Linked DNA regions of Saccharomyces cerevisiae S288C. The gene in region 2 interacts genetically with the main gene of each other region. Each region holds a gene or a part of one and is shown on either strand. Other genes may lie near its edges.

Region 1 (8,045 bases), on a different chromosome or scaffold from region 2:
TTGCGCCTTCTTTTGCTACAGTTCCAGCAGCTTGGGCCAGAAACTCTAGGGCGTTCTGCATGGAGGAAAGTTCAAGCTTCCACTTCATCCCTTCTGATTTAAATGATTTTTCACTGCTAATCCCTTTTCTTGACAAAGGTACATCCGATAAAATTGGGCTCGTTGAGTCATTTTGTATCTCTTGCTTACTCTTACCTAGAGATGGCAGACTTATTGCATTAATCGAATTAGGAGGCAAGTCGTTCGAAGTTCCCTTATTAGAGCTAAAAATACATTTTTTTAGCTCCCTTTTGCAACGTGCACACGGTGGGTCGTGTGGGTTATCAACCGGACCAAGATCACATTTCACCTTCCTTGATCTGCAGCTGATGCAAGCTTGGTAGGTTCTTCTCCGTTTTGGAAGTTCAAATGCTGCGTTTCCCGAAGGCCTTTTCTTAGCAGACATAGAGGATAAAGCAGTGCTTAATGTAACCTTATTATGCGTGGATCATATATTCCCACGACTAACTTGATATTATTGCTTTAATTTATTCTCGCTCTTTTTTCATTGGTTAGTTACTATCTTCATTTATCTCGGTTATCATCGGATAGAATAGTGTACTCTCGTTGATTCCGAAAATATTAAAAAAAAGCCTTCATGTATTACTAAGAAGGACTCATAAAATTACAAATGCAATACTTGATGATATATATAATAATAGTAATGGCGTGAGCCTATGTGTATTAATGGGTATCAATTTTTGTGATCATCTTTTGTTGCAAGCGCCCCTTCCAGCAGCGTTTATTGCACAGTCAATAATCATTTTTCGCTATATTTTTGTCGTTTGATGGTTCTGTTGTTTTATAACTTTCGACATTCTCTTATAAAGTTCTTCGTCTAAAGCATCCAGCTCCTCGATATGTACATCTGAAACACTACCATTGTCGTCAATATCCTCTATTTCTAAATCTTCAAGATTAGAGAAAAGAGTCTGATTTGGCTTTGGTAGTGAAGATTCTGTGTAGCGTAATGTGTGAAGTTTAATCGAATTTGTATGAAGGGGTGTGGTATAAGCGGTACTTGGCAAACATGTCTGACTCCCTGTAGAAAACTCATTCGTAATTTGATTTCCAGTATCGGGATCATCTGTAGTACATGATTCAGTGCCTAGTCCATGAAGTTTAGTTTCGCACAAATGGTTCTTGTTATAGTTTTCAATAACTTCGTCTGGCAAGTGAAAACTGTTTGACTCTTCATTGTCAGAATAACTGTCGTATAATCGAATATCACCATTTTCATCAACATCTAGAATGCCTGATATGGACTCCTCATCATTCAAGAAGGCTTCCGTAGCATCTTGGTTTTTGTCATACACGCAGTCTCTTACTATACTGTCTATTCCCGAACCATCATCCCCATTGGTTTGATCAAAATCGAGGGGGATTGCGTCCCTGTACAATAGATCACCGTCATCATTAATGGTATAATGTAATCTGTGAATAGTATTATAGACTGTGTTTTCGCCAGTCACAATATAATGATCATCTACCGCAGAGTAAACACTTTCATTTTCAGATTCTGGCGGCTTTTCATTATAAACTTGGTTTCCAGAAGAAGAGCGGGAAAGCTCGGTACTTTCAAGTTCCCTCTCATTATTGAGGCTTTTCCCTATGCAGTTCCTTGGGTGTCTTTTCAATAATATATTTCTATGACGGAAAGCAAAAAATGCAACGAATAACCACAAGAGTACGCCAATAGTTAAAACAATCAAAAAGATGATTATTTTTACAGCATACTTTCCTGCAGATGCAGAATCTGTGAATGAATTGATAAAGTCATCCAAAGCTCCATACTTGTAAGTTCCATCTATGTTTTGGGAATTTCCTTTTGAAGAATCCAAGACGCTTGATGAGGTTAAACTAGGGACATAACCACCATCTCCAGAGCCATATAACGTCAATCCCCCTAATGGGATCCCACTATCTATTAGACCAGCTAAACTTCGCAGTGGGGTTTGAGGATTGCTATAAAGAGTCGAATTTTCATCAAGGATTAATTGCTGAAGATATGTTACGGCTTCTGTTGGAAAATATACCTCTGCAACTGATACAATGTATGCCTTAGAAGAGTCTACCATGGGAACAATCTTTTTCACCGCTATTGAGGATGTGTCGACTTGTGGAGGATGTAAGTCCTCGGTTGACTTCGTGGCATTTTTTTTCTGCTGGTTTTTTTTTTTCTTGACAACTGATAATGATGATATGGATTTTGGGGAAAGGGTAGTTGTGCTGCTCCCAGACCGGTATGAAAGAATAAAAGTGGATAATTCCCCAATACTATTGTCCAGTTCTGATGAGGTGTTTGAAAAGGGATACTTCAAAACGAGAGGTAAAAAGTTGAAGATTTGAGCCGAAGATAATGGATTTTGAACCAAAAATACATAATTCAAAGCGGCCGTGAATCCGATGGTAATTAAAGTGTGGTTAATGGGTTCCGATACAGCGACGGCCGGTTCAATTGCATTGGGAAGTGAACCAGTGATTGACGGATTGAATGATGCGGTAGTGGGGCCCGTTTCGGATGATTCCACTATAATAGCGGTAGGTAACCATGCGTAACTATTTGGAGAGGGGTACGGAGTAGTAGGATAGGTAGACAAGGCAGGGGCTGTGAATACTGAATTAGTGCTTGCCTGAGTTTGAACTGCAGTCGTAGCAGGTCCAATTGAGATTTTTGTAAAAGACCGAGAATATGACCCACTGGTTTCAGAAGAACTTTTGTATTGCGTCTTTGTTGTGGTTAAGCCGGTTTCCTCGCCATTTTCGCCCATGGTTTTCGATACTTTCCTGGATAAACTTTTCGAATCAACCTTTGTATTTGTGGAGAGCGATGGGTTAGATGAAATATGTGAACTTTGTAAAGAACCTACAGAATTCCTCCCTTCGGATTTTTCAGACTGACTATTTGCTCGTAATGTTGATGTAAAGCTTGTGATTCTTTCTTGTGTGTTTGAAACAGATTTACTTGCAGGTATTGTTTCTTTTGAAAGTTTTATTGAAGATATTGATGAGGATGAGTAGCCAAATGAGGTTGCACTTTTTGACGAATCGACAAAGTTATGTGATAGTCCAGTCACAGAATTATGAGAACTTGGAATAGATAAAGAATATGCGTGCGAGCTACTTGAAATTGTAGTTATCTCTGTAGGAGTAGCGGAAAACTTTTCATTGTCTGGTTTCGCCGCGGAAGATGTGTATAGGAAATTCGAAACAACTGTGGATCTGCCACTGGTCTCAGTATTCTTGTTCGCCGTATCGTATGGATTTTTTGTACTGCTAGACAGCTGGCTCTGTAGTGAACTAATTTTAGCTGAGTTTTTGGGGCTTGTTATGCTTGCTTGGGTCGATGAAATTATCAGAGAAGTTTCAACCAAATTCGAAGCTGAAGGGTTGAAAACGGAAAGCGCGCTTGAATGTATTTCGTCATTTAAAGTTGAGCTTGTAGAAATTTGCTGAGAGACTATACTTTGGATTGCCATCGAAGTCTGCAGTAAGAAATCCGTAATCCTGGACAATGTGCTATGTATTTGAGTTGGTGCTATTGTGGATGTTGTTGAGTACCGCTCAGAAGAAAATTCAAACGCATAAGCAGATGAAAAGTATGTGTAAGTAGAAGAGGTGGGTAAAGAAGTAGATGGGGAAGGTGAAAATTCATATGTAGCAATGGACGATCTGGAAGCAGAAGATGATAGAGAGTAAACAATATCATATGGAGAGGATGAGGAAGTAGATGACATGGCGACAGAAGCAGAAGGTGAAGGCGTGTAACCGGATGATATGGCAGCAAAAGTTGATGGAGAGTAAACAATATCATATGGAGAGGATGTGGAAGTAGATGACAGGACAACAAGAGCCGATGGTGAAGACGTGTACGTCGAGGATACTGCAACAGGTGCCGATGGTGAAGACGTGTACGTTGAGGATATTGCAGCAGGTGCTGATGGTGAAGACGTGTACGTCGAGGATACTGCAACGGGTGCCGATGGTGAAGACGTGTACGTTGAGGATATTGCAGCAGGTGCTGATGGTGAAGACGTGTACGTCGAGGATACTGCAACGGGTGCCGATGGTGAAGACGTGTACGTTGAGGATATTGCAGCAGGTGCTGATGGTGAAGACGTGTACGTCGAGGATACTGCAACGGGTACTGATGGTGAAGACGTGTACGTTGAGGATATTGCAGCAGGTGCTGATGGTGAAGACGTGTACGTCGAGGATACTGCAACGGGTACTGATGGTGAAGACGTGTACGTTGAGGATATTGCAGCAGGTGCTGATGGTGAAGACGTGTACGTCGAGGATACTGCAACGGGTGCCGATGGTGAAGACGTGTACGTTGAGGATATTGCAGCAGGTGCTGATGGTGAAGACGTGTACGTCGAGGATACTGCAACAGGTACCGATGGTGAAGACGTGTACGTTGAGGATATTGCAACAGGTGCTGATGGTGAAGACGTGTACGTCGAGGATACTGCAACAGGTGCCGATGGTGAAGACGTGTACGTTGAGGATATTGCAGCAGGTGCTGATGGTGAAGACGTGTACGTCGAGGATACTGCAACAGGTGCCGATGGTGAAGACGTGTACGTTGAGGATATTGCAGCAGGTGCCGATGGTGAAGACGTGTACGTCGAGGATACTGCAACAGGTGCCGATGGTGAAGACGTGTACGTTGAGGATATTGCAGCAGGTGCTGATGGTGAAGACGTGTACGTCGAGGATACTGCAACGGGTACTGATGGTGAAGACGCATAGGCAGAAGGTACTACAACAGAAGCCGATGGTGAAGACGTGTACGTCGAGGATACTGCAACGGGTACTGATGAGAAAGATATGTAAGCAGATGGAAAAGGAGCAACGCCAAAGTGAGAGGAAACGGATGCAGATAAGGATGGGGAAGAATAAAGGGAAGAAGAAATATAAGTCGACGAGGAAGTCGCATGAACAAAGGTTGAATGGACAGAGCTGTATGGCACTGTATTGGTGCTTGAAGTTGAAACAACAGTATCCGAAGCACTGCTAACTATAAAGTTTGTCGTGGAAATCGAAGATACTGCGAAAGTGTTAGATTCACGGCTTACACCTTGACTTGCCTCTGAAGATGTTTCGGCAGTGGAAGAAGTGGCCGGGCGATCGACAATCAGTTCTTGGTCAGGATAGTTGCCAGCACTTAAGTCATAATATGTGGAAAGCTCTACTTCACTCATACTAAAACTATCAATTGATGTAGTTTGCGTTATGCTAGAGGGCCGGGATACTCCAACAGCCACTCGGCTGCTCTCAGAGGTTTCAGTTGACGTTGTTTGGCTATAAGAAGATGAAAAGCTGGTAATGGGGGAGCTAGATGTCTTGTCTGCAGTCGACTCCCCTCCAGAATAGACGGTTGAACTTGAACTGTAACTTTCAGAGAGCTGGGATTTGCTCATGGCATATTCTTCTTCGACTGAATTTTCAAACGATACAGTGTTGGAAAAATCTGTTTGTGTTGATTCACTACTAAAGCCATCTATTGTTGAAGCTGCCGTTATGCTGGAGATTTGTGAAACTCTGGTTACCATTTGTGCAATTCTCGTTGTTTCACTGATACTGGAAGTTTGAGCCAATGTGCCTTCTTCTTTGGAAATTTGAGAATCTGTGGTTATTATTGGACTTATTTCCCTCGGTACCGCTGAACTATCGGATGTGGATATTATTACGCTACTTGAGGATTCCGAGGAGGTTGTATCGCTATCTGACTCCGCCACGGACTTCGGATTGTGACTAAGCGTTTGTGATATTTGTGATTCATCGCTATAGGACTGCAAAGGGGTGGGTACAATGCTACTACTTGGTGTCGCTATTTCCGTAGACTTTTTTACTGATGACATCGTGTCAGAAGTTTGCGTTGTCGTCGTCACACTAATATACTGGCTGGACGTACCAGTTTCTTGTTCATCCATTATTGTTGTGCTTCCACTTTCACCATATTGGCCAGCCATTGTGGTGGTTTCAGAGCTTGATGTTATTGCATTCTCTTTGTTGCTAGATCCGGTACTGGATATCGCGGATGTTGAATATGAGGGTGTGCTTTCTATTCCATTATTGTATGAAGTTGAATATATTGTATCGTTACTATAGGCCTCGATTGCATTTAACAATGACACCAGGAGTAAAATTTTTTTTATTTTCAATGAGACCATCTTTATACATTCTCTGTTTCTGACTGTTGACTGCGTCAGTTGAGGAAAAAGATATCGCAAAAATTTCAATAATGTGGGTGCGGAATCAGTTAGTTACTGGTTAAAGAATGATAATAAAATTGATGATATGGCAATTGATTATAAACGGAAAATGTTTACAAACAAAGTTAGTGCTCTAAGTTGTAAACTTTCTCTTGATTACAATGCAGGAAGCAGTACAGCGAAATATCCAAACGAATGAAATGACTACAGGTGCCTACGAGGGACACTGCTTTTAAATCGCTGTAACTACTGTCTTTGAATAAGCCCTCCAATTAACTAATCTAAATATTCCTAAATTAGTTAAAAAAATTTTCTGCAACCAAACGGGTCAGAAAGCGAAATATCTTTAGCGCGTTGTGGAAAAGAACAAACTGCTATTAATAGAAAGTCTAAGACTTTTGATAATAAGAAACGAATACTTGAGTGATAACGTTGTTACACCTTTTAAAGAAAAAAACAAAAGAAATTGACTGACAAATTTTGTTGCTACCAAATAAAAACATTAAAAATAACGACAACTGCAGGACTCGAACCTGCGCGGGCCAAAGCCCAAAAGATTTCTAATCTTTCGCCTTAACCACTCGGCCAAGTTGCCTTAATTTGTATTGTAATCTGGTCTTCAGAAGAGTAATGATAGTGTATAACTTTTTTATGATGTATAATATTACTTGCATTATTATTCTTCAGATTTGTTTTTAAACAGCGTTACTTTGTAACATGAGATTGTGTGTATCAAACCAATTCCTGCTTTAAACGCATCTAATTGATTAAGTCCCCTGAACAATCAGCTGAGGTCAGAGATCATGCTTCCAGCATTCATTATCACATGGATCTTATATATTATGAAGGTATGTAATATTCTGTGAGTCATGTCTACAAAAATAAATTATAACAAGTTGTTTCTTTTTTATAGACTTCCAAATCTCTATCAAGAAATCCTAGTATGAATATTGTACATAATGTTATCACTTTGATCAAAAGCGAAGTCTCAAAAGTCATCAGTCGGTATTTTCCGATCATAAGATATTAAAGGTACTTCGTTCTTCTTATCAACAAAACCTGGCGCCCGTGAATCATTTAGAAATTTTGGAAAAGCAATATTATCAGGACGTTTTAGTTGCTGAAGCCATATAATTGTCTATTTGGAATAGGTCATTTTTTTCTTGTAAAAAATGATAAGATGTTTTTGGAAGATGTAACTTGTTTCTTCTGAGGTGTGGCAGTATGTTGTGAGTTTGGTCTTTTCCGTGAAAACAACAATCTTTTTTCCCCGAAAGAAAGGTTTTTGGATGATTCTTCAGCACCATTTAAGCCTTCCGACAGTTTCAATGCTAAATGATAGTCTGCGTGCTCTTGAAGAGCCTTCTGGTCTGTAAAAGTCACCTGGTATTTACAACATTCCAACTTCGGAGTTTTCTCGTCAGCTTTCGAGCTGGTAGTTTTTTCCTCATCTTCCTTGCCTGCTGAGCTTTTGAAAGTATGGACCTGATTGCCAAACATATCTACAACAGTTTTTTGTAAATCTATAATATCGAAATTAGTAATTGTCATACTTAGTTTTGTTAAAGGGTAATAACTTTTGTTCTTTCCTTTAATATCAAGGTCCGTGACAAATTTTATGCCTACTTTTAGGAGTTCGTGACTCTGGAAATTGATGCCCTTGTACGCAACTGGACCTGATTTTCGATATACTTCGTAGGATTTTGTTTTTAAAGATATAGATACTGTTCTTGGTATTACGATCTTGTTATACTCCTGTTCCAGATCCTGAATCCTGGACGTAAG
Region 2 (4,352 bases):
GATCAACATTGTATCCGGGTTTGGTAAGATTGTGGGTGAGGCCATTACAAACCATCCAAAAATCAAAAAGGTTGCCTTCACAGGGTCCACGGCTACGGGTAGACACATTTACCAGTCCGCAGCCGCAGGCTTGAAAAAAGTGACTTTGGAGCTGGGTGGTAAATCACCAAACATTGTCTTCGCGGACGCCGAGTTGAAAAAAGCCGTGCAAAACATTATCCTTGGTATCTACTACAATTCTGGTGAGGTCTGTTGTGCGGGTTCAAGGGTGTATGTTGAAGAATCTATTTACGACAAATTCATTGAAGAGTTCAAAGCCGCTTCTGAATCCATCAAGGTGGGCGACCCATTCGATGAATCTACTTTCCAAGGTGCACAAACCTCTCAAATGCAACTAAACAAAATCTTGAAATACGTTGACATTGGTAAGAATGAAGGTGCTACTTTGATTACCGGTGGTGAAAGATTAGGTAGCAAGGGTTACTTCATTAAGCCAACTGTCTTTGGTGACGTTAAGGAAGACATGAGAATTGTCAAAGAGGAAATCTTTGGCCCTGTTGTCACTGTAACCAAATTCAAATCTGCCGACGAAGTCATTAACATGGCGAACGATTCTGAATACGGGTTGGCTGCTGGTATTCACACCTCTAATATTAATACCGCCTTAAAAGTGGCTGATAGAGTTAATGCGGGTACGGTCTGGATAAACACTTATAACGATTTCCACCACGCAGTTCCTTTCGGTGGGTTCAATGCATCTGGTTTGGGCAGGGAAATGTCTGTTGATGCTTTACAAAACTACTTGCAAGTTAAAGCGGTCCGTGCCAAATTGGACGAGTAAGGTCATCAATAAGCCTGGTGTCCAATCGATGCTTACATACATAAAATTAAATATTCTGTCTCTGTTATATTTCCACATGTCATCATTTCAAATATATGTACTTTAAAGAAAATAAAATAAAAAATAAAATTTTTTTCTCCCGATAATCAATTTTCTTAATTAATTAATTGCGTTACGATTCCGTTTTTTTACTTCTTTTATCTCATTATCTATCTAAGTTATTTAAAAAAAAGAAAGAACTTTTTATGAACTTTCCTCTTTTCTTTCTTTTAGACTATTTAAAATACATCACCTTGGTCAAACATAGCATCAGAGACCTTGATGAAACTTGCGATATTAGCACCTTTGACCAAAGATGGCAAGACCTTACCGTCCTTAGTGTACTTCTTGGCATAGTCGATACATTCATTGAAACAGTTGATCATAATTCTCTTCAACTCTTGGTCAACTCTTTCGCTAGTCCATGTGATTCTTTGAGAGTTTTGTGCCATTTCTAAACCAGAAACAGCAACACCACCCAAGTTAGCAGCCTTTGGTGGACCGTACCAAACAGCTTCGCTTGGTCCAGTGGCGGTGGAACGAGCAGTTTCAAAGACGGCAATAGCTTCTGGAGTGGAACCCATGTTGGAACCTTCGGCAATAAACTTGACACCTTGAGCAACCAAGGCCTTGGCTTCTTCACCGCTGACTTCATTTTGGGTGGCACATGGCAAAGCAATGTCGACCTTTTGGACGTGGGTCCATGGACGAGCACCAGCAATGTATTGCACTTTGTTTTCGGAGAAAGTAGAGTATTCGTTGACGATTTGTTCCAAGGACTTGAAGTTGACCTTAGCACTGGAAATATCAGCGACTTGTTCGGAGGTGATACCAGTTTCAGAGATGATACAACCCTTGGAGTCAGATAGGGAAACGACAGTACCACCTAGCTCAATAACCTTCAAGGCAGCGTATTGAGCAACGTTACCACTACCAGAGATGGTGACGCGCTTACCTTCGAAAGATTCCTTACCGTTTGTGGCATAGTCGATCATAGCTTGAGTATAGTAAACTAAACCGTAACCAGTGGCTTCTGGTCTGATCAAAGAACCACCCCAGTTCAAACCCTTACCGGTTAAGACACCTTCCCAGGAGTTCTTGTATGATCTGTAAGCACCGAACAGGTAACCAATTTCACGACCACCAACACCGATATCACCAGCTGGCACGTCAGTGTCTTGACCAATGTGTCTGCTCAATTCTCTCATGAAAGCATAACAGATTCTTCTGATTTCGTTATTAGATCTTCCCTTCAAGTCCACACATAGACCACCTTTACCACCACCCATGTCTAGGCCGGTCAAGGAGTTCTTGAAGATTTGTTCGAAACCCAAGAATTTCAAGATAGACAAGTTCACGGAAGGATGGAAACGTAGACCACCCTTGTATGGACCCTTGGCGGAGTTATATTGCACTCTGTAACCTTGAGCAACTTCTTGTTCACCCTTGTCATTTTCCCAGGTGACTCTGAATTGTATGATTCTTTCTGGAACAGAAACAATTGGCAAAACCTTTCTGTATTCTGGGTGTTGTTCGAAAAGAGTAGAGTCTTCCAAAGAGGAGACAACTTCTTCGTAAGCTTGTTGAAATTCTGGCTCTGACATTTCTTTTTCTTTTTGGTCTCCTAACTGTTATATTAGAATAATGCGATAGTACGTATCAAGCAACTTTCAATGCTATAAGAAAAGTCATTTAAAGAGTGAGAGAATATAAAATGGGTAAACGCATTTGTAACTCTCGTATATTTTATATATGAAAAACAGAAAATTTTCCAATCTTCTCTTACTTAGATTACGTATACTTTGCTTTAACAAGAAGCCGGCCTTTGCTGCTACTTCTTACGCTTTCTTCTTCCGCAATTTTTCAGTGCTGATTTTCATTATGGTACCTGATGAAAAAGAAAACGGCGCAGCAGCTGATAACAGCTTCTCTCTGCTGATTGGACGTGGGGTCGTACTATTTCTTTTTTATTGCCCCACCGCACTGAAAATGCATGGGCCGGTTCCGGCGCATTGGTTCTGCGATAAGAATATCGAGGCCATCCAATCAGATGGTCAGATAAGGTTATTAAGATCAGGCCCGTTTCCATGGAGTCATGGAACCTGCATAAGGGGAGCCTGATACACTAGAGAATAATGACCTGAGTGGATGTAGCATCATATTCCTTATGAAATCCTCTTATCCAGCCAATCGTAAACGATGCCCTCCCCCACGTTATTGTTGTATAATTCAGGTTATGCCCAGATGCGGAGTGGTGCCCAGATCGACTCGAACGCATGGTCTTCTAGGACTCTTTATCGCAGCCCCATGAAGCAGTGCCACTTTATACTGAATGGAGTTACTAATATGGTTTGGCTCGGTTGGTATACTGGCCACAGCCCGCTAGAATAATTCAAGAAAAAAAGCCAATGCTGGACAGAATCACTGTAGAGTTTAGCGGACTTGAACCTAAAGAAGTTCATCTCCTTCTTGTCGGGAGCTTCGGTGTGCTAGTTTGTTACTGTCGAAGAGTCCATCATTAAGAGAAGTTTTCGAAGCTTCTGTCGCTGAACTACTGTATGCGAGATTACACTTTACAGAATAACTTGGGAAGCTGTCATTCTTGGTAGAATATGAAGGCTTTGAGTGCTGATCTAAGATCAGCTTACGCAAAGTTTCTTGCACTTACGCGATTGGAGCCGACGGCTTGGTAAAAATTTTCGAAATTGCAGGTTCTTGAAGCAGAGATTGTTCCGAAGAAACTTGGTTTCCAATCAGATAGAGAAGTGGGCTTTCTGGTCATGCCACGCAAGTTACAAGCGCGGAATTGCTACCACTTTACGTCTTTCTTCATGTTCCTCGGACGTTTCCAATCATTAGCCGTTCCTCTAGACATCTACAGATCTATTCCTAATCACAACCTATCTCTAGCCGCAAGATATATCTGTGTGAGAGGGGTCGCAACAGGAATACCTTAAATGGGATAACCGTCACGTGACTCTCACTAGGGGCATCAAGTGCGCTGCTTCTTCAAGGTTTTCGCGCCCTGTTTGAAGAAGTGGCACAGAATCCATAGAGTAATATTACTAACGAGCTACGAAACTTAGCTTACCTATTAAATACTCAAAGAAAATACGCTGTGTATGCTTTTGCGGCACATCTATGTCATTAAATCTCTCCATGGCGCGTATATTTTATGACGGGAAATCTGAGGCCGATCGAGGAGGGAAATTACTAGAAAAGCTTATCCTTCTTTACCTCCGAACAAATTTTAAAATATACCTCAATGGGAATAAAGAATGCAAGGAAAGGCAAGGTTCAGCCTATGATGATGAATATCGTACTCTAAAATTATAGATATCTAACTGTGGGCGTATTAAACCTTGCTTTGGTCATTATCCAATCGTGTATGCAGAGAGCGGGGCGATATGCAGCAAACAAAAGGGGCGAAATAATAGTTACTCCAAAGATGAAATGGCAGAAGAAAATGGAA

The links. A genetic interaction does not mean that the proteins touch.
Region 1: mutations in GDH1 (region 2) and HKR1 impair growth when combined (synthetic growth defect), as found in Saccharomyces cerevisiae (one large-scale study listed by BioGRID).

What each region holds. Positions count from the first base shown.
Region 1 is NC_001136.10:1,304,440-1,312,484, reverse strand, and holds HKR1 (Hkr1p), read right to left. Parts: upstream 6,219-8,045; coding exon 810-6,218; downstream 1-809. Other genes in the region: ARO80 (Aro80p), read right to left, coding at 1-445; RAD30 (DNA-directed DNA polymerase eta), read right to left, coding at 7,413-8,045.
Region 2 is NC_001147.6:1,040,559-1,044,910, forward strand, and holds GDH1 (glutamate dehydrogenase (NADP(+)) GDH1), read right to left. Parts: upstream 2,485-4,352; coding exon 1,120-2,484; downstream 1-1,119. Other genes in the region: aldehyde dehydrogenase (NADP(+)) ALD4, read left to right, coding at 1-841; YOR376W (uncharacterized protein), read left to right, coding at 2,633-3,001. UniProt on the Saccharomyces cerevisiae protein: Catalyzes the incorporation of an ammonium ion into alpha-ketoglutarate to form L-glutamate, the major route of assimilation of ammonia into an organic form in yeast.